Linked DNA regions of Coturnix japonica. The protein of the gene in region 4 interacts with the protein of the main gene of each other region in a biochemical or structural test. Links are inferred from orthologs where the notes say so. Each region holds a gene or a part of one and is shown on either strand. Other genes may lie near its edges. The genes, in order: USP25, PIAS1, RNF111, SUMO1 and RNF4.

Region 1 (3,516 bases), on a different chromosome or scaffold from region 4:
TGAGTAGTACTGTGATACTAATAGCTCAGTTTAATATAACAGATGGGTAGACTGACAATTATGAAGCACTTCAATACTGAAAAAAAGAAGAGGAAAATACTCATGCGGGGGAAAAAAAAAAAAAAAAAAAGAAAAGAAAAAAAACCTTTAAAGTCAAGCCCACATTCTATTTACTATATATTTCAACCCAGTGTTTTCTCAAGAGTGAATAATTTTCAAGACTGAACTTAGCCTCTTCTTGAATGTAAGCTGCCCACACATATCCCACTACAGTTCTAGGTGATCTGAAATCAATTAATCCTTCCTCCTTCCTTCTTTCCTCAGTTATTTTGTTAGCAGAAATCAGAATACTCTCCACTAGAAAGCTTGCAATGAGAAGTTCAGTGTCGCTCCAATAAAGCCAACAAGCAAACATTCACATATTTTACTGTTCTAACACAAAATGTTCTCTATAATGAGTAAGAATGAAAATAGTATCAGGTAACAAGATTAATTAAGGACACGTTAAATTTCTTTCTCCACAAAATAAGTAACACTCTTTGTTTAAACTAGACAGAGTTTCAGTTCTACAAAACAAACCCTGTAGAACTTTTCTTTCACTTCCAACAGAAATGTGATTAGGACACACATAAGATTGCTGAGATTCTTGTAGCATCAATAGCAACACATTTCAAGTAAGGGATTAGTTATGTTTTTACTTCTGGTCATTCACATAGCTAAAATACTAGTTTGGGGTTTTTTCTGTTTGTTTGTTTTTAAAACAACAACATTAATTAACCTTTAAGATTTGCCAAGTCCACTTTTTCAAAATCTTTATTTTCTCTATTCAAATCAACTCCTAAAATTTTTGCTTAGAGATATTAATATATTTCAAATGAAAATAGGTTTTTTTGTTGTTTTTTTTTTCTTTCAAGCTTTTTCCAAAGAATAGAAGGGAAGCATCATTGTTGTTTTGCTTCATAAGCCAGTCCTTGTCATCAGAATACACGTGGCATAGCCACACACACACAGAAGTGTTCAGGTGCAGTATCATAAAGATCAAAAAAGTATATACAAAATAAACCCAACCAACAGCGTATAATACTGCGACAGTTTTTCAGAATATTCACATACAGTAATCTCTGACTACCTTCATCTAACTGTCCATAAATCCTGAAGAATCTTATCTATAAAATGGAGTTACCCATCAATATACTGTATCTCTCCTAAAAATGCCTATATTTTACACTAATATACAAGTTATCTGCTTGCAAACACAGAAGTAGCCATAAATAAAACTTTATTCTTTCATTTCATTTACAAGCTACCAAGTACCATGTATTTACACAGCACTGGACACTTAAAGTAGTTGCAGTCACAAAATGATCCAGACAGCTGTTGATAAAGTAAAGGATCTTAAGATAAAAGCAAAGTAATACTGTAACAGAGAAGTGGCAAAAAAGCAGTTTTGCCATAATTATCAGACTTGCAAGTTGCATCAATTCTGGTTGAAACGACTGAGTGCCATGCGATTCTCAGCTTTAACTGTTTGCAGTCTGGCTAAACTTTGTACAGTCATTTCTCTTCTGCAGTTATTAAAAAAAAAAAAAAAAAAAGTTAAAAACTATAGCAGCAACAAGCAAACCCTGTGACAGGAAGGCAAGGTTTAAGAACTAAAAAAGTTTATACAGTGTGCTCAGGAAGGTTGCAGAATTTATCTTCCATCAGCTGGAGTTCGACTGAGTGACAACATGATTCGGGCGTATCTTTCACACAGTTCATGTGTGGAGTACGAGGGTAACTTTGGCGGGTCATTGAAACCTTTAATCTCTGTAGAACAATCTAGTAGTTTTGGCAGGAAATCTGTCAGCTTTTCTTGCAAGTTAGCTGCAAATGAAAGAAAAGAAAATAACCATAAGCTTTTATGTCCACAGGTGCAATTTTCCTCTTCCTGCTCCAAACTGATTCTTTTTTTTTTTTTTTTTTTTTTTTTTTTTTTTTTTTTTTTTTTTTTTAACAGGGATGGGAGTATTAAGAGTTTCACTTGGAATAATGCACTTTCTTCAGTGAATAAAAGTTTCGTTTAAGGACTTTGTTATATATAGAAAATATTGCAGAACTTCATTATTATGTATGCATGGGAAAAACTGCTGTTCATTTAAATGTGTACAGTATTACTCTAAAGTCATGGTAATTCAAAATATGTTACCAAAACACAAAAGATTCAGGCTCTGTTCAAGACACAAACCAAAACATTTTAAAAAGTAATGAATAAAAATCAGGAGTGTGTGAGCGTCTTATACTTTAATAAATACTTACGTTCCATTTCTTGTCCAAGATAGGAACACCAACGATTTCTCATATCTTCCACAGCGACAATATCTTTTTCTTCCATTTCATCCACCAGAAGTAATGGCAAACACGGGACAATAAGCTCATTCATAATGATCAGGCCATTGTTTACTTCCTGATCATCTCCTGATTCAAACAGTGCTGCAGCATGTTCATTTAGTTTCTTCACGTACCACCACAAAAAAGAAATTCTTTAAGTATACAGCATTTCACAATTGACCATTCTGTTTTTGTTTGCCTTATGGCAAATCTGCAATAACAACTGAGCTTTAACGTTCACAGCAATGGTACATAAACTCTATTAAACCATTTGATCTTGTACTACTCTCCTAAGGCCACTTCAGTTGATACCTGCCAAGTCAACTTTTTTAGCTACTCCTTTTCAAAACTGAGGTCCTACCATCTGCTCTTGCCTATTCTTATGATTGCAAAGAAAAAGGTGACATAATCAAGGAAAAAAAATCATATCTGCTGATACCTTTTTCTAAACATTTGCATCCCTGTCCAACTGCAATAACATTGCAAGTTCACCCACCAATACTGCCCACTGTTGCTTCTACCTAAGCCCAGACACAATGGCAGTGAGCACACTACTTATAATGATAAAGAAACTGATTACTTAAAACAAACACATGCTTTATTCTCACTACACACATTTCTTCCTCTCACCTTTTTCTTATTGAAATCTTTGTAATTTTTAATGAAAATGCTTTGGTTTTAGTTTTTTTGAAAGTATGGCAGCATTGCCTAATTTGTTAAAGCTATGTGGAAAATTCAACTTTTGTAGTATATTGCATCCTTCACTTACTAGCAAACATTCTCGTCTGTAGTGAGATATCAGCTCTTCATCATGCCCTCTGTATGGGCCTTTGGACAAGAGTTCTTTGTTATTCTGGTAAGCATAGATAAGGTAGAGCAAGGCTTCCATATAGCTAAAGCAAAGTAAAGAAACAAAGTTGTTAGATGCAAATCCAGATGACACCTATTTCAAGTTAACTACTATGTTCTTCATAGGATATGCAACTTCACTTACTTGCTTGACTGCAAATCCAACCCTCCTCATCCATCTCTTCATAATGTTGCATTTTCTACCACATATTTTCTTCTTTTGTATACATTAGAACAATGTATTTTATTATCAGACTAGATAACTTGCACATGAAGTGTGATCCAAAGCTCACTGAC
Region 2 (4,292 bases), on a different chromosome or scaffold from region 4:
AGGAAAGATTTAATCACTCAAGTATACTCCTTCCAATTAGAAAGAGCTTTAAATAGCTTACCTTGAGATAAATTACAGTCTGTATGCAATTATACAGGAATAGTAATTAAGATGGGGAAAATTCACGTTATGTCTCAACCTCCAGAGTTAGGGAGGTAATCTGCCAAGCAGACTTCCCAGTTACCTTGTTTCACCAACAGAAATGAAAACATATTGCTTCAATTCATCCAGAACCCGGAGAGTACCAAAGAATTCAGTAACCTTACAAGGCTACGATCTGCAAAGTAAGTTTGATCTTATCTGATTATTTTTCTTTCAATAGGACAAACATTCTCTAATGGGGCACAAGGCTGAAATGCTCTTGATGGCGGTAAGAAAATACATCACAGGAAACGTTATTTCATGACTTAACGTTAAGTGAAAAATTACAGCAAGCAAGATCCGTTGTTTCTCTTAAGGAAGAGAGACCTTTTATTTTACCTGGGGCATCTGGCAGTACCCCATGCCGTATCACATTCCCAGTTTAAATGTGTGTATGTTCCCCACATATAACCCCATGGTTCTTTACACAGGAAGGAAAGAAAGTTTTAGAGAAAGAAAAACTCTGACGAACTTCGCTGTGCACGGGCAAGCCAGATAGTGCGAATTATTACATTTGATTTTAGCTTTAAAGGTCACTAGATCTGAAATCAATGCCACTTCCTAATTAATCAGAGGAGAAACGTGGAAAAATTCCACCTCAGAAAATTATAATAATGAAAAGAACTCTGTGTTCGTTCCCCAAATAGCAGAGTCTTGGTCACAAACTCTCCCTTAGTTTTCTTTCAACTTTACAAAAGCAGCAAACATAAAAGCTTGCTTTCTGGAGATGTGCATCCACATGAAAACATCCCCTGCACCAAACCTGGCAGAGCTTCTTTCTGTTCGCCTCCCTTTTTCATGGACCACTCACCTTATCCAATACCCAACAACAGAGCCAGACCGCTCCTGGAAAGCCCAGGACATGATAGATATGACCCTGAGCAGAACTTTCATGCTTCTGAGTTTCCCTCTCCCTCCCAGAGAGGAGCATCCACCCACCTCTTATTTTTTTGTATGGCCTAGAGAGAAAAAAAGCAGTCAGACCTCTCCATCTCAAAGCCTTCGAAGCATGAATGTATGAAGTTATTGGGTTTTTCTTCCATGAACTGCCAAACCCTCACAGCCCCCCAAACCAGCCAACTTCTCATAGACTGCAGTGTCCCATCCCACGGTCCCAGCCTACAAGTCCCATTAAATATCCCGAGAAGAAAAGTGAAACTGAAAATAAACCAGTGGGATTGACATTTACCCTTCAGGTCCCTGAGGCAGCAACAGTGCTTTAAAGAACAAAATAATCATAATTTCTCAGCACTGGTTCTCAAGGAGCAGCTTTCAGACAGGGATCGATGAAAAAGTCAGGGATGACAAGTGGGCACAAATACATTTCTGCATGAGCTGAGGCTGTAACACAGCAGGCAACAGGACAGGGTGTTCAGTGGGCAGATCTCAAAGCTCTCAGGATCAACACATGGCCAGTTTTCATAGGGAAAACACAGGGACCACCACCCTGCCATCTCAATACACACCATAAAAACCTTAACTCCCTCACTGCTCTCAATTAGATGCTTATGAAGGCATCACCACGTGCACCCAGCCCAGCACCAACAGATCCATAGCCAGGTGCCAGCACGCACTTGCCATGCCGAGATTAACAGAAGTTTTAAGGCTGGAATCAAACCTTAATCCTTCAACTCATCACATGGAAAGATAATTTGGGGGGAAATAAACAACCTTGAGGGCAACACAGCTCAAGCAAGATGGCTCAAAAACAAAGGACAGCGGGGGACCTGGGGAGAACAGGGGCCTGGCAGGCACAGAGCCCAGACTCTGGGGCACACACACAGTGCTGGCACTGTCGGCCCCTAAAAAAGAAAGCACAGGAAACTGCTGTGTGCAGAAAACTGAGGGGCTCCTCGGAAAGACAAGTTTCCCTGGTCACGCTCCGTAATTCTCAAGTTTCTGTCATATTTGATGCACTTCTGATCCGTACGGCTCTCGTGATGTGAAGTGCAAAGCGTGGAAGTGAAGCCCTCCTGCTAAGAGCCCTGTGACAGCCGCAGCCAAACTCTCAAAGTTTCCAGCTCGCAGCCACACTCAGCCCACACCCCCAGCTCGCCAACGCGAAACCATCTCAAAGTTCCGTCGGTTTTTGCTTTAATTTCTCAGCACGGACTCCCTGACACCCCCCTTCCCCCCCCAGCCCATGACGGCCGCATCCCGCTGGGCCTCAGCTCAGCACCACACCGCAACCCGGCGGGGTCCACGAGGAGTTAAGGGAGAAATAACTTCTCTGACAGAGGGGAGGGCCGGGGTGTGTGTGTGTGTGGGGGGGGGGGCTGCCAACGCCTCGTAACGGCCCCCGTGGCCGAGCGGGGGGGGCCCGGCTGCCTGTCAGCCCCGGACGGAGCCGTGTCACCGGGCTCGGCCCCGGCCCCGAGCGGAGCGCTCCGCACCCGCCCCCAACATCTCAGGGCGGCTCGACCGCTGCCCCCCCCCCTTCCCCGTGCTGCTCCCCACGCCTGGGGGGGCACTGCCCGGCGGGGAGAGCTCCGCTCCGCTGCCCGCCCCGCTCCGTCCCTCAGCCCCCAGAGCGAGGCGGCCCCGCGCAGTCACCGCTCCGCAGCTCGCTTCGCCCCGTAGCGCTGAGCGGAGCGCGGCCCCGAGCGGCGTCGCGGAGGGAATTGGAGCTGCGCTTTACCTTTAGTTCCGCACTGTCCGCCATCTTGCAACTCCGGGCGCAGGCGCAGTGAACCCCGCCGGGACACCGCCCCCCCCCGCCGCCCCCTCCCGCCCGCACGCAGCGCGCAGCGTTTGAATCGCGGCGCCATTTTGTCCCTCCCCTGCGCTCCCTCGGGGCCGTGTCTCCTTCCACACGCCGGGCTGGGGGATCCCGCATTTCTTCCTCCGTCCGCATTTAGAGCTGCGGGAGCGTTTCCCAGCCCTGAGCACGAAAAGTTTCCTTCCATCGCTCCGCAAAGGGAACGGGGCGCTGTGGGAGCCCTGCTCGGCGGGGCTGTGAGGGGGGAACGCGGGGCCCTCCCGGGGGGAGCTGTGGACACGCATTCCTGCAGCAATAAATTGGTTAAAAACTGGAATTTGTGACTCTGCTGCTTATTCTTTCTAATTACCCATCGCTGTCACACTTTTTTTTTTCCACTTGGCCTTTAACTCCTGCACGAAGGGTGGAAAAATGGTCTTGGGCAGAAGGTCAATACTGTACATCCTTTTAAGTGAGACCAAATTTGCCCGTTTTCCGCAGCTTCCATAAAATTAATCATCATCCATTCAGAAAGCACTTACATTATCTGTGTTGCGAGATATAAAAGCATTAATGCCTCCACTCTGCAGATGGAGGAAAGCATGCTTGAGGCCACGCAGGGAATCGATGGTAAAGAGATTACTACTGGTGATTATTTCTGAATTATAATTTATGTCTCCCATCTGACCTGGATAGTTAGCCACAACTTAAAATTAGGCACTTTCCATTGAGGGGAAAATGTGACAGCGGTATCAAATATCTCCTACTAAGTAGCATTTTGATACCATCCTGTTAGTGGTGAGAATATACATGAAGCCGTGTTTTCTGAACAGCAGAAAGCAACCCCGGTCCTTCACAAACATTTTGTTTCCATATATTCCAGCCAGAAGCATTTCCCAGCTCGGTCTCAAGGCCAGCATGGCAGATAACATGAGGAGCATCCCTTGACTCCCCTGTGGCACCCTGCTCCATCCTCCAGCTCATGGGCACATCCCATTTCTCCTGCAGGTGCACCAAACGTCCACTGCTCTCATTGATTTCTCTTACCATTTGGCACTGGCATAACGAATGAACCACTCAGAAAATGAGCAATTAAAGAAGGCTGATAAGTAGCAGATACTCTGGCTTAGTACTGCATGCAATGAAGAGTCTGAAGGCTGGTTTGGGGAGGGGGCAGGGTGCTAGGCAAGATGTCTAAAAAAGCAAAAGTCAGATGACTACCCCGTACACCCACACGTACCATAATTAGCCGATCTATTTCAGCCGCCTGTACCAGCCCATGTTAGAATATTTCATTTTGACTGATTGAATGTGTTTAATAAACATAATCTTCACGTGATCTATTGGTTTGTGCCTCACATAAAGAATTTGACAAAAAGATGGATGATCACATGAAGGCGAATCCTCATTTGCTTTTTTTCCCCCTTTGAAAGAAGCTTGCTGCTCAGCAAAC
Region 3 (3,516 bases), on a different chromosome or scaffold from region 4:
TCCCCTCAACCCAATATTCTGTAAACACAATAAAACAAAAGATATCAGATAAGAGTTGATTGAGTCTGCTCAAGCACAACTCTGACAACCGGAGAAGTAAACAAAAAAACATTACTAAAATACAAATTATTATTTTCATAGGAAATACATTTTTTGAAGTCTGAACATTAACAAGACCTGCCACTCAAAAACTTACTTCCACAAGAAAATATTTAAACTTTCCATAGATTCTGTTTAATTCCTCAACATAAGATTAACTCAGTTTTAAGATCAAAGCAAGAAGGTAATAAAACTTTTATTATGCTGTCAGGGAAGGTTATTTTTCCTCTTCCCCCCATAAAGCCAGTACTTACAAGGAGAATGCATATAATGGCGACAGGAAGAAAGCGATGCCTGAGGAGGAGGTTGGGGCTGTGGCTGTGCAACCATACTTGATCCATATCCATCTATTGTTAGTGATTGGCTTGGGCCAGCACCAGTCTGATGCCCATAAATTGCAGTTCGAGATGAAGAGCCAGGACAGCAGGGGTCAAAAGCAGATGTTCCATGAAAAGCACCACTTCCATGACTTCTTATACCACTGCTGCTTAAGTCTACTGGCAATGCCTGCTGCATAAACAAATTATCTTTTTTTTTTTCAAGCAATTCTTCAGCCACTGAAAACAAAATTATCCTCAAATATAACTTGCTAAAAATAGGAGTAAATATGATCTCAAGCAATTGGAATCCAGCTTTTTAAGTCTGAAGACTTGATTCCGGAACATTCTTTAGATATGGTTAGCATTTCTTATTTCTAAATTATTGAACTTGAAAACCAGACTGAACCAAAAAATACTATGATAGATGAATTGACACATATGTGAGAGCTACTGTGCATTAAAATATTTCCAGGCAAACAACAAGCTTTAGCATTTTTAGTTGTGCCTAATGCAGCAAGATAGAACAGACTGATAGTTCCACATGTTGTAAATTATATTTCCACAGTATTGTTCTTAGGATTTGCAACCATTCTGTTTTAGAGCTGTGATTTTAGTTAAAATCTTAAAAATAAAATGATTTTGGAAGAGAATTTTTTCCTTTCATGAACAGAATATTAAGGGAAGAAACATTCAGTTCTAAAGTAGCACAGCTTCTTACAGAACTACTACAATCTGTACAGTATAATGCAAAGTATTTATGGTTGCTCTGCTTAAATAGTAAAATAAAATAATATCATCTTACAGTCATCAGGAGAACATCAGTTGTCAATGATCACTTATTGGGTTATGGCTTGTTGTTACATTTCCTTTTGTGCCCATACAGTATAACTCAATTTTTCCTTTTAGTTCCCTCCTAAAATATCTACTATAGAACATGAAAATAACCCACAATTCAGCATCCTTTTAAATTATATTTAAATAATTAAATAATAACTTGGATTTACAGAGAAAGAGTCATAAAAATGAAACATGCCTGGTCATGGTAACTGGTGCCAGAACTGCTGCTCGCTCCACAAGGTGCAGGCACTGGAGGAGGCCGTTCAACAGGGCAGCTGGAGTCACTGAATGAAGGAGACAAGGGAACTGCTGGGTGAGGGTTGTGGTGGTGATGGTGGTGGTGTTGAAAGTGGTGGCCGTGCTGCTGAAAGCAGCTTGTATGTGGATGCCCCAACGCATGATGATTCTGTGAAGATCCTCCACATGGAGAATGCTGAGGGCAGCACGACGGTAACCTTGGCATGGCTGGAGGGCTGGTTTCCAGTGTTGTATTAGATGCAGTTCTTCTTGTATCATCTTGAAATTAAAGCCAAGATTGAAGAAGTTAGTAAAGCTCATCAGCAAAAAACAATGTCTGAAAAATCTTTGGTATTAAATAATTAACTAATTGGAAAATAGATCTAGATTAAAACAAAACAAACTGGAATAAAGAGGAAAAAAAAGAAGATTGTACTATGCTTGCCAAATGAACCAAAAATGAATATTTCAGGTGGACATATTCATGGGAATGACTAGAGGAAGTAAAATGGCACTTATCTTATTATTCCAATAATTTAAGATGCATTACTGGTGGGGAAAGGAGGAAAGATCATGTCTGTGGCTAGTGTGAACGGATCTATTTTGATCCAGTATTATCAAATTCCTGTATAAATATGATCAGCTAAGATTTTTTTGTACATCATCTGACTTGGAGGGAAGAGTAGTCATGTCTCAGTAATGTTTTTAGTGCCACCCGTACAATCAACTCTTTTATATGTCATTTTCTATACAGATTTATACAGACATGCTTTCATCTATGGGTTCAAGGATTCTAAATGCATCCTTTGCTTCCTCGCAATGCACATTTTAAAAAGCTCCACAACACACTGTAATGGAAGATTCCATTCCCAGTGAATTATATTCTGTCTCCTCAGAAACAGGACTGTTGTTCAGATATAACTGAGCCATCTCAATGAGATGCAGAATGCTCCTGAATCCCTTATCTATCTTTGTCAAGAAAGGGAGCCAGGAGACCTGCATAGTTAACAGGGAACTGCTTGGAAAACTCAAGTGGAAGAGGAGAGTCTACAGATCATGGAAGGAGGGGCTGGTCTCTTGGGAAGACTAGTATACTGCTGTCAGAGGATGTAAGGAGTCAACTAGGAAAGGTAAAGCCTCCTTCGAATTAAACCTTGCAAGAGGGGTCAAGGATAACAGAAAGAGGTTCTTTTAAATACCTTGCAGATAAAACTAACACTAGAGGCAATATAGACCCACTGATGAATGAAGTGGGTGCCCTGGTGACAGAAAATACAGAGAAGGCAAGTTACTAAATGCCTTCTTTGTCTCTGTCTGTACTACTGGAGCCCCGTACCCCTGAGGCCACATAGGAAGTCAGGATCAAGGAAGAATTTGCCTCAGTTAATGAGGACTGAGGTTAAGGATCAATTAAGCAATCCAAACATCCATAAATCCATGAGTCCTGATGGGATGCACCTGCGAGTGCTGAGGTGGAATTCATTGCTAGGCCACTCTCTGTTGTCTTTGTTAAGTTGTAAGGACAAGAAGAAAGCAAATGTCACTCCAGTCTTCAGAAAGGGCAAGAAGGAGGACCCAGGTAACTATAGACCAGTCAGCCTCACCTCCATCCCTGGAAAGGTGATGGAACAACTTATCCTTGGCACTGTCTCTAGGCATATCAAGGATAAGAGGAGTCATTAGGGGCAGTCAACATGGCTTCACCAAGGGGAAGTCATGCTTAACCAACCTGATAGCCTTTTATGAAGACATAACCAGGTGGATAGATGATGGTAAAGCAGTGGATGTGGTCTATCTTGATTTTAGTAAAGCATTTGACACTGTCTCCCACAGCATCCTTGCAGATAAACTGAGGAAGTGTGGTCTGGACAATCAGATAGAGAGGTGGATTGTGAACTGGCTGAAGGAAAGAAGCCAGAGTTGTGGTCAATGGGACAGAGTCTAGTTGGAGGCCTGTATCTAGTGGAGTCCCTCTAGGGTTGGTACTGGGACCAGTACTATTCAATATATTCATCAATGACTT
Region 4 (3,516 bases):
ACAATGTCCATTCAAAACCCATGTCCCAGGCCAAAAGGTACAAACAAGAGTGTCAAAGTAACACCAGTTGCCTGCTGTGAACATTCTTGCATGAATACCTGCGTGTACTAATTGCTATATGAAGTTAAAATGCTTCTGGGCTCTTCTGGCAAGATTTAAGAATCATTAGGGTTTTCAATTCTATGTCTTCAGCAAAGCCATCTCTGGAGCAAGGTACAGATGACAACGGTTCTAGATTTTTTCGTTTCCAACTCTGGTCTTCTTCGTCGGGCCATCAGCACAATTTAAGTAAAATAGCTCTGAGTTACGGATACATGATTTCTCCACAGTTTAGTTCTGAAAAACTTCATCTCGCACTGAAAGTTATAGTCCAGGAGTGAAACAGTCACACATCAAAACTTCAGGGCAGATATGGAAGTCATTAAGAACACTCGCCCACCTGGCAGATCTTACAACCTTCGTGCCTGAAATGCACGAACTTAGTGAACATACAAATGCATGTGTGTATATGTATTTCTAAAGGGGAGGGCGGAAGGGAAAAGGAGAGCAGGGCTGCAGCTGGATCACAGAAGTTCAGCACAATGAAAACAGAAACAATAGTGTATAATGAGCACGAGAATTTAAAATACCAGACGCTCGAAAATAAACTCCCAGAGATGGGGTGCCAGTTTCAATTCAGTGTTGAACACCACATTACAAAAGAACTATTATTTAAAAATAAAAAAGGATTAAGGGGAAATAAAACAAACAGAAGGATCTAAACTGTTGAGTGACCCCCCGTCTGTTCCTGATAAACTTCAATCACATCTTCCTCCTCCATCCCCAGCTGTTAGAACAGAGAAAAAAAAAAACAGCACAATTGTTACAAATCTGGTGCACCGAATTCAGAGCAGGTCCTAGAAAAGCTATCTGATGCTTTGTTCTTCTGCCTCATCATTTTTCAAAGGACAAAGAGGTGAAAAATTTTTCACTTAATACCTCACTAGCCAACACTCATGCTCTTAAGTATTTTTTCTTCCATCATATACATTTCAGCACATCTTCTCAGTCAAAGCAATAATCTTATCTGTGAAGTCCAAATTCACTTGTGAAGCAGCACACATCAGCTTGAAAAATACTAGCTTTACTTTCCTCTAAACTTCTTGGGCAATGGATGCACAGGAATGTAACTACCAACACTGTGAATGCACCCGCTGTATAGCCGCATGGATGATATACTGCATGCTGCTAAGCATGATACAGCTAAGACCTACAGCTTGCAACTCAAAGCCTGTTCACAGCTGTTGTCTCAAACAAAGTAACTTGTTCATTGTGGAATTCAAGAAGTTTGATTTTTTTTCAGAAGGTCATCATTATAACTCAGTATTTCAGTATTTCTTCCTGTTCCTTTCTTCGTAACAATTGGTGGAAGTCACCAGATAGCAAAAGTAATCTGTTTGCTGTTTATTTACACTTTCATCTAATAAATGTGAACAAAATACATGTTTACTTCAAATTCAAGCTGAAGATCTAGAACAACAACTGATCAGTTCCCTCAGACTTTTTTCCACTATATGCGAAGGTCCAATTAGTCTTTTTTCTGACCTATGTAGCAACCTTATTGAATACTTCAGTCATACAAGTATAATCAGACTACAATTAGTCAGAGATGTATTGACAGATGGGCTACATTTAAAGAATCAAATCAGGTTAATATAGCAGAACAGATAAACTAACACATTTTGTAATTATTTTCTCTACTGAATGCTGTATGCAACACTCTCTGAAAAGAAACTTACCTCCTTGGGGGTATGATTATCAGTAATCCTCTGACCCTCGAAGAGAAACCTGAGTGAGTTCATTGGAACACCCTTAAAAAAAAAAAAAAAAAAAAAAAAGCACAAAAAAACCTCAACCAAGATGCAAACATTTACAAGAAACACATTTTTAATAAAAACAGTGCACATATAAGTTAAAAAGGAAAGCGTAGGTTCTTGTTACACAGAGAGCTCAGCTATCCTGCTGCTCCCATGTAAACTACCAAGTGTCTCAAGGAGAGCAATAGTGCTGAACTGCATCATTCTTCCAAAGTTACAGTAAAGTTCTTCGGGATCAAGAACTGGGAAATTTTCTTAGCATCTCCCCTCCCCAACTCCTCTAAAGTACCAACTATGCACTCCCAAGGCATTACAGGAGGGTGCAGCCTTCTTCTAAACCATTTATCAGCCTTTTTAAAGACTACCATAACATACAGAATATGTGTACTTCACAAACTCCTACACTTGCTTCCACAATCTTATAACACTGCAATAAAGAATGGTATCCTCTACAGATACAAGCTCTGCAAAAGCCCTACGCTGTGAAGGAGAGGGAGCAGAGAAAAGAGCACCCAAGAGCTAATAAAATAAGATCACAGTACATCTAGTGTACAGCATTCCTACGTTAAAGCTTAATACCACACTTCACCTTTGCAGCTAAGACAAACACCTAACCTTTTCCTCTTCTTTCATATCCATTATCAGCAAAGTGCAAGTGAAATATGACCCGTTTAGTGCATCATTTACATCTCAGAAATGTTGCTTACTTGACACCAAAAGCAGTGTTGATAACAAATGAAGGAACTGGGACTCTCTAGAAATCAGCCAGGAGAAAGATGTAGTTCTGCCTACCAAAACATATATTTCTTGGAAAAAAAATCTGCACATACACATTTCTAACAGTGAATACGACTAACTGCATGAATGAATGCCAGCATCTGCCTTTTAGTTTTCTGATGAATCCCAATTTTAGTCACTTTTTAGTTTGGGTTGCAAGGATATCTGTCATTTAACCTTTTATCTCCTTCTCTAGTAGGATAGCAGGCCATATAGCAACATTACTGTACAAAGGCACAGAAAATCTAATGTGTCATAGTATGAAAGAGGTATTTCTACAGAACTTACCATACTTTGATGCAAATCAAACTTAGCACTAAAATAAAAAGTTGGGGTTTTTTTGGTTTTTTTTTTTAATAGTTTTATTTACTGAATTGAACTTCAGTGCAATTGCTCAAGAAAAGGCCACATAAGGCATCTGTCCCCAAAGCTAGGAGTGAAGTAGACCAGGGCCGCTAAGAATAGCATCACTGAATCCACAGTATCTGCCATAGAACCTGTAAGTGAACACATATTTCCTGTCCTGGAAGAGCGGTCACTATTTACCTGTATCAAGCACTGATACTGCATATTTCTTTAGGTTAGGGTATAATAGCTCATGCAAATGTATTATCATACTTATGACAGTAACAACATATAAGGCTGCCCTCATCCCAAGCTGCAGTATTCTATTTCAAGGAAATTTCAAAAGGATCCAGAAGATTTTACAGTAATTTCAAATGTAAACCTGGACATTTTAAAAGATTACTTCTACACCTTCTGAACAGCCACTGTACATTCAGTGTCATGGTTTCACAAACCTGTCTTTGACAGTATGATTCTTTGAGTTTCTTGAGGTGTGTTGTCATTTTCACCTTGAAGTGAATTTCACTGCTGTCCTATG
Region 5 (3,516 bases), on a different chromosome or scaffold from region 4:
AATGACTTCAATGTCACAACTACTGACCGCATGTTTTACCAATTCATGGCCAAAACTGGACTAAGAGCTCTACAAAGTCACAACTCCACCATCACAAACTGCATCACTCTATGTTCAGGGTTCTTGGGCAAAGGGAAGCCGTCATGATACCGTAAGTATCACAGTAAGCAGCTTCAGGAACTCTACACCATAAACTCTTGGCTTTACTGTGCATGCAGAACATCTTTCACAGTGATAGTGACAGAGCACTGGGAACAGGTTGCACAAAGAGGTTGTAGAGTCTCCTCTGGAGGTATTAAAGATCTCTCTGGATGCTGATCTATGCTACCGCAGGGAGCCTGTTCCAGCAGGAGGTTGGCTCAGGTGATCTCTAGAAGCCCCTTCCAACCCCTGCAGTTCTGTAATCCTGCCATCATCTCCCGTGTTAAGCAACAGTTTATATAATTCATTAATGACAAAAGCATAAGAAGCTTGAGATATCCTTCATCCCATAATCGTTAATTCAAGCAGCAAGTAATACTGAAGTCCATCTCTAGTTTCACATACATAATTAAATTCCATTAATTTCTCCATTTTTTACTACTCAAATTGAGGCTATAATACCAACTCAATAATTAATTACAACTGATGATAACCTTCACATGAGCAAGACTAACTCAACTCTGTAGTCTGCCACAGAGCCATGTATGGTGTGAAACTATAACCTCACCTTCACGTCAGTGATAGAAGTTACATCACTGAGCTGTCTTAGCCTTGTCTACACAGAGCAGGAAGGCCCATCTCTAACAGAGAAGTATGAGCTTGAGGCACCTAAACGTTCCATTTTTACATTAACCAAAAACAGGCCCAAAGTAACAAGTTTGTAAATTCAACAACAAAGAGCACTGCTCTCATATGCTACAAGGAACTTCACATCGCACATTTAATAACCTGAAAACCAATGTTCCTGTATCCAAGTTCTCTCCCATACTGTCCTCTAGTAAACTAAAGGGCTCACAGCCCACCAACAAGGTAGGATCAGCGTGATGTGCTGCTTCCCAAAACGTGCTCAAAGAGGCTGTTATGGAGTCCACCTTAAAATGCCTCTGAGTGTTAGAAGAAAGAAGTTACTGCCAGCATCCAGACATTTGTGAGTTTGGTTTTTTAAATCACAATGCATGTCTTAACTCATAGGACAGCTGGGCTGCACAGCTGGATCTGAGTTGAAGGTACCCAAAAAAAGGATTAACAACATCTGAGCTTTAAGGTCACATATAAATGCCTGCAGACACTGGGATGCAAAGAAGGTGAGTTAGCACATCCTCATTATTACACTGACTTCTTGTCAATGTGATAGACCACTTAAAATTCAAAACAAAATCACCCACCACTGCTCTTCAGCCTGGAAATTATCAGCATCTTGCTAACTTCTTATCCTTCACTCCCTGGTAACTACAGCAGGCAGATCAGCTGTGCTGTAAATGCCATTCACTTGGCTCAGATCCAGTACCTCATGCCACAGGGTCAGCCAGGGATACTCTATTCAAGATTGTCAGAGATAAGAACAGCCGTCCCTCCTCAGTAACTGCTCTCAGTCAGTTGAGAAGTTCGACTCTATTTTAAGTATGCAGGAGGTGCTTAGGAAATATATATAATGCAAAGAAAAACAGATTTATTTTCTTTAGTTTATCATCCACTGCACTTCAGCTGCAGTTTGGTTTAATCTATTTCCTTGTCAGAGACAGTCAGTGATAATACAGCCTGAACAGTATGGCCTAAGCACACTGCACTACTGTCAACAAAAGCCTACATTACAGCCCTTAGTAGAATCTGCTTTTTTGTTTCCCAAAAGCATATTTTCTAATATACCACATTTCTCTACAATGCAATCATGTCTCAATCTGTGAATTTGAAGTGGAAACTAAGTTATGATTTCAAAGATAAACCAGACCATAATGATCCGAATCAGCCCTGTGTGCACAGAACACAACTCAATGTTTGTTAGGCCATAGACATACATACTTGGAGCTTGCAGTTTCATCCTCCAGTGGTCCCAGCTCTCGAGACACTTTATCTGTGACATACACATCATTATCTCTCGTTTCATCTTCATCATCGCTACTAAGCACACAGCTGTCTGACTGCCGCTGGCCTCTTAGTCTGAGATTTCTCCTCCGCTGTCGATTCTCTGTAATTTATTTATTTAGATATACCATAAAAATACATACAGTGAATTCTACAACACTTTTACTACCTTGAAGAATTAAAAAAAAAAACAACAAACACAACAACAACCATTTGATTGTTTAAAATAAATAAAAGGGGGTAGAGAAGACTCAAGTTTCCGAGGAGCACAGTGAGGTGGCAGGGCAAAAAGGTTTGGTAACAGTGAGCACTTTTGTTCAGACCTGTATAAAGCTTGAGATTAGAAGGGAGCACCATCCCCCACAATTACCTAAACTGCTTAGAGCACCGATATCATTGCCAGCAGCCAGTTGCTGCTTCAGGGGATTACTGACCATATGGACAAACACACACACACCTCAGGTCATTCTTCTGGTAACAAAGTCAAGTCATTTTTCACAAGTGACAGAAGAGCTGCTTAAGTGGCACATTTAAATGACATAGTTGCTTTTGTTTCTCACTCATACAAGAACAGAACAAAATCACTGAGCCCATCAAACCCAGAGGTTATAGAACCGCTGTTGGCTTTTTCACCATCAGAAACTGCACACAAGAATTATTTCTTTGCAGCTCCATCACGAACACCAACCATGGAGCCTTAATAATGATTACATAAATAGCCACAACATTTAGAAGTCCTTGCACAATTATTGAGCTATAATCTCTATTGCATGTGGGGATTTTGTTTTGTTGTTTTTTTCCACTTCCTTCCTTTAGAGCCCCAAATGGATTACATTCTAGGTAAGCAGCTAACAGCTGTAAGAGGCCATGCTTTTTACATTACTGTCTCAAAGTTTGCTGAAATTGACAAATTCAGGCAAGTCCTGGCCAAGGTTCCAGGACTGCCTTTGTCTGAGACACACAGGAACCAAGGTTCCAGAAATCCCTTTGTTTAGGAGATGGACCAGTCGGGAGCTACGAAAGGGAGATAAGATGCTGATCAATGGCCCTTAAGTGGTCTTTTGTGTTGGCCTGTCTCAAGGAAGATGGCCATCTCTGAGGACTGATGGCTCTTAAGTGGTCTTTCTCTCGTGTTGGCTCATCTCAAGGAAGATTGACATCTCTGAGGAAATCACAAGACTCTGACCCGAGCCGTCCCGAAATCTCTCGAAGGCTGGAAAGGGCACGGACAAACCACGGTTTTGTGGGCATCTAGGTATCTGACCTCAGATCCCTCCACCGTTGTCCTACTGCTGCCTATTATCTCTTCTGGGATTGCTGCTCGAGGCTCTGCTCCGAGGGACCTCGCTGCCCGAGACTCCACTTCCTGAGACCTCGCTACTCTGACCATCTTCTCTGCGTTTCATCGATCTGCGGCCTGCTACTCCGCTGCTGCTCTCCCCTACGCTTTTG

Evidence for each region.
Region 1: the proteins of SUMO1 (region 4) and USP25 form a complex in vitro, tested with the Homo sapiens proteins (2 studies listed by BioGRID). The link is inferred for Coturnix japonica from reciprocal best matches to the Homo sapiens genes SUMO1 and USP25.
Region 2: the proteins of SUMO1 (region 4) and PIAS1 form a complex in vitro, tested with the Homo sapiens proteins (6 studies listed by BioGRID and IntAct, with this or other methods). The link is inferred for Coturnix japonica from reciprocal best matches to the Homo sapiens genes SUMO1 and PIAS1.
Region 3: the proteins of SUMO1 (region 4) and RNF111 form a complex in vitro, tested with the Homo sapiens proteins (3 studies listed by BioGRID). The link is inferred for Coturnix japonica from reciprocal best matches to the Homo sapiens genes SUMO1 and RNF111.
Region 5: the proteins of SUMO1 (region 4) and RNF4 form a complex in vitro, tested with the Homo sapiens proteins (5 studies listed by BioGRID, with this or other methods). The link is inferred for Coturnix japonica from reciprocal best matches to the Homo sapiens genes SUMO1 and RNF4.

What each region holds. Positions count from the first base shown.
Region 1 is NC_029516.1:88,770,132-88,773,647, reverse strand, and holds the end of USP25 (ubiquitin carboxyl-terminal hydrolase 25), read right to left. Parts: intron 3,264-3,516; coding exon 3,140-3,263; intron 2,495-3,139; coding exon 2,299-2,494; intron 1,867-2,298; coding exon 1,694-1,866; 3' UTR 411-1,693; downstream 1-410. UniProt on the Homo sapiens protein: Deubiquitinating enzyme that hydrolyzes ubiquitin moieties conjugated to substrates and thus, functions in various biological processes including inflammation and immune response.
Region 2 is NC_029525.1:17,309,333-17,313,624, reverse strand, and holds the start of PIAS1 (E3 SUMO-protein ligase PIAS1), read right to left. Parts: upstream 2,804-4,292; coding exon 2,780-2,803; intron 1-2,779. UniProt on the Homo sapiens protein: Functions as an E3-type small ubiquitin-like modifier (SUMO) ligase, stabilizing the interaction between UBE2I and the substrate, and as a SUMO-tethering factor. Catalyzes sumoylation of various proteins, such as CEBPB, MRE11, MTA1, PTK2 and PML.
Region 3 is NC_029525.1:5,844,345-5,847,860, forward strand, and holds part of RNF111 (E3 ubiquitin-protein ligase Arkadia), read right to left. Parts: intron 1,773-3,516; coding exon 1,453-1,772; intron 610-1,452; coding exon 354-609; intron 1-353. UniProt on the Homo sapiens protein: E3 ubiquitin-protein ligase. Required for mesoderm patterning during embryonic development. Acts as an enhancer of the transcriptional responses of the SMAD2/SMAD3 effectors, which are activated downstream of BMP.
Region 4 is NC_029522.1:10,239,633-10,243,148, forward strand, and holds part of SUMO1 (small ubiquitin-related modifier 1), read right to left. Parts: intron 3,512-3,516; coding exon 3,434-3,511; intron 1,851-3,433; coding exon 1,779-1,850; intron 827-1,778; coding exon 758-826; 3' UTR 1-757. UniProt on the Homo sapiens protein: Ubiquitin-like protein that can be covalently attached to proteins as a monomer or a lysine-linked polymer.
Region 5 is NC_029519.1:74,941,212-74,944,727, forward strand, and holds part of RNF4 (E3 ubiquitin-protein ligase RNF4), read right to left. Parts: intron 2,168-3,516; coding exon 2,002-2,167; intron 1-2,001. UniProt on the Homo sapiens protein: E3 ubiquitin-protein ligase which binds polysumoylated chains covalently attached to proteins and mediates 'Lys-6'-, 'Lys-11'-, 'Lys-48'- and 'Lys-63'-linked polyubiquitination of those substrates and their subsequent targeting to the proteasome for degradation.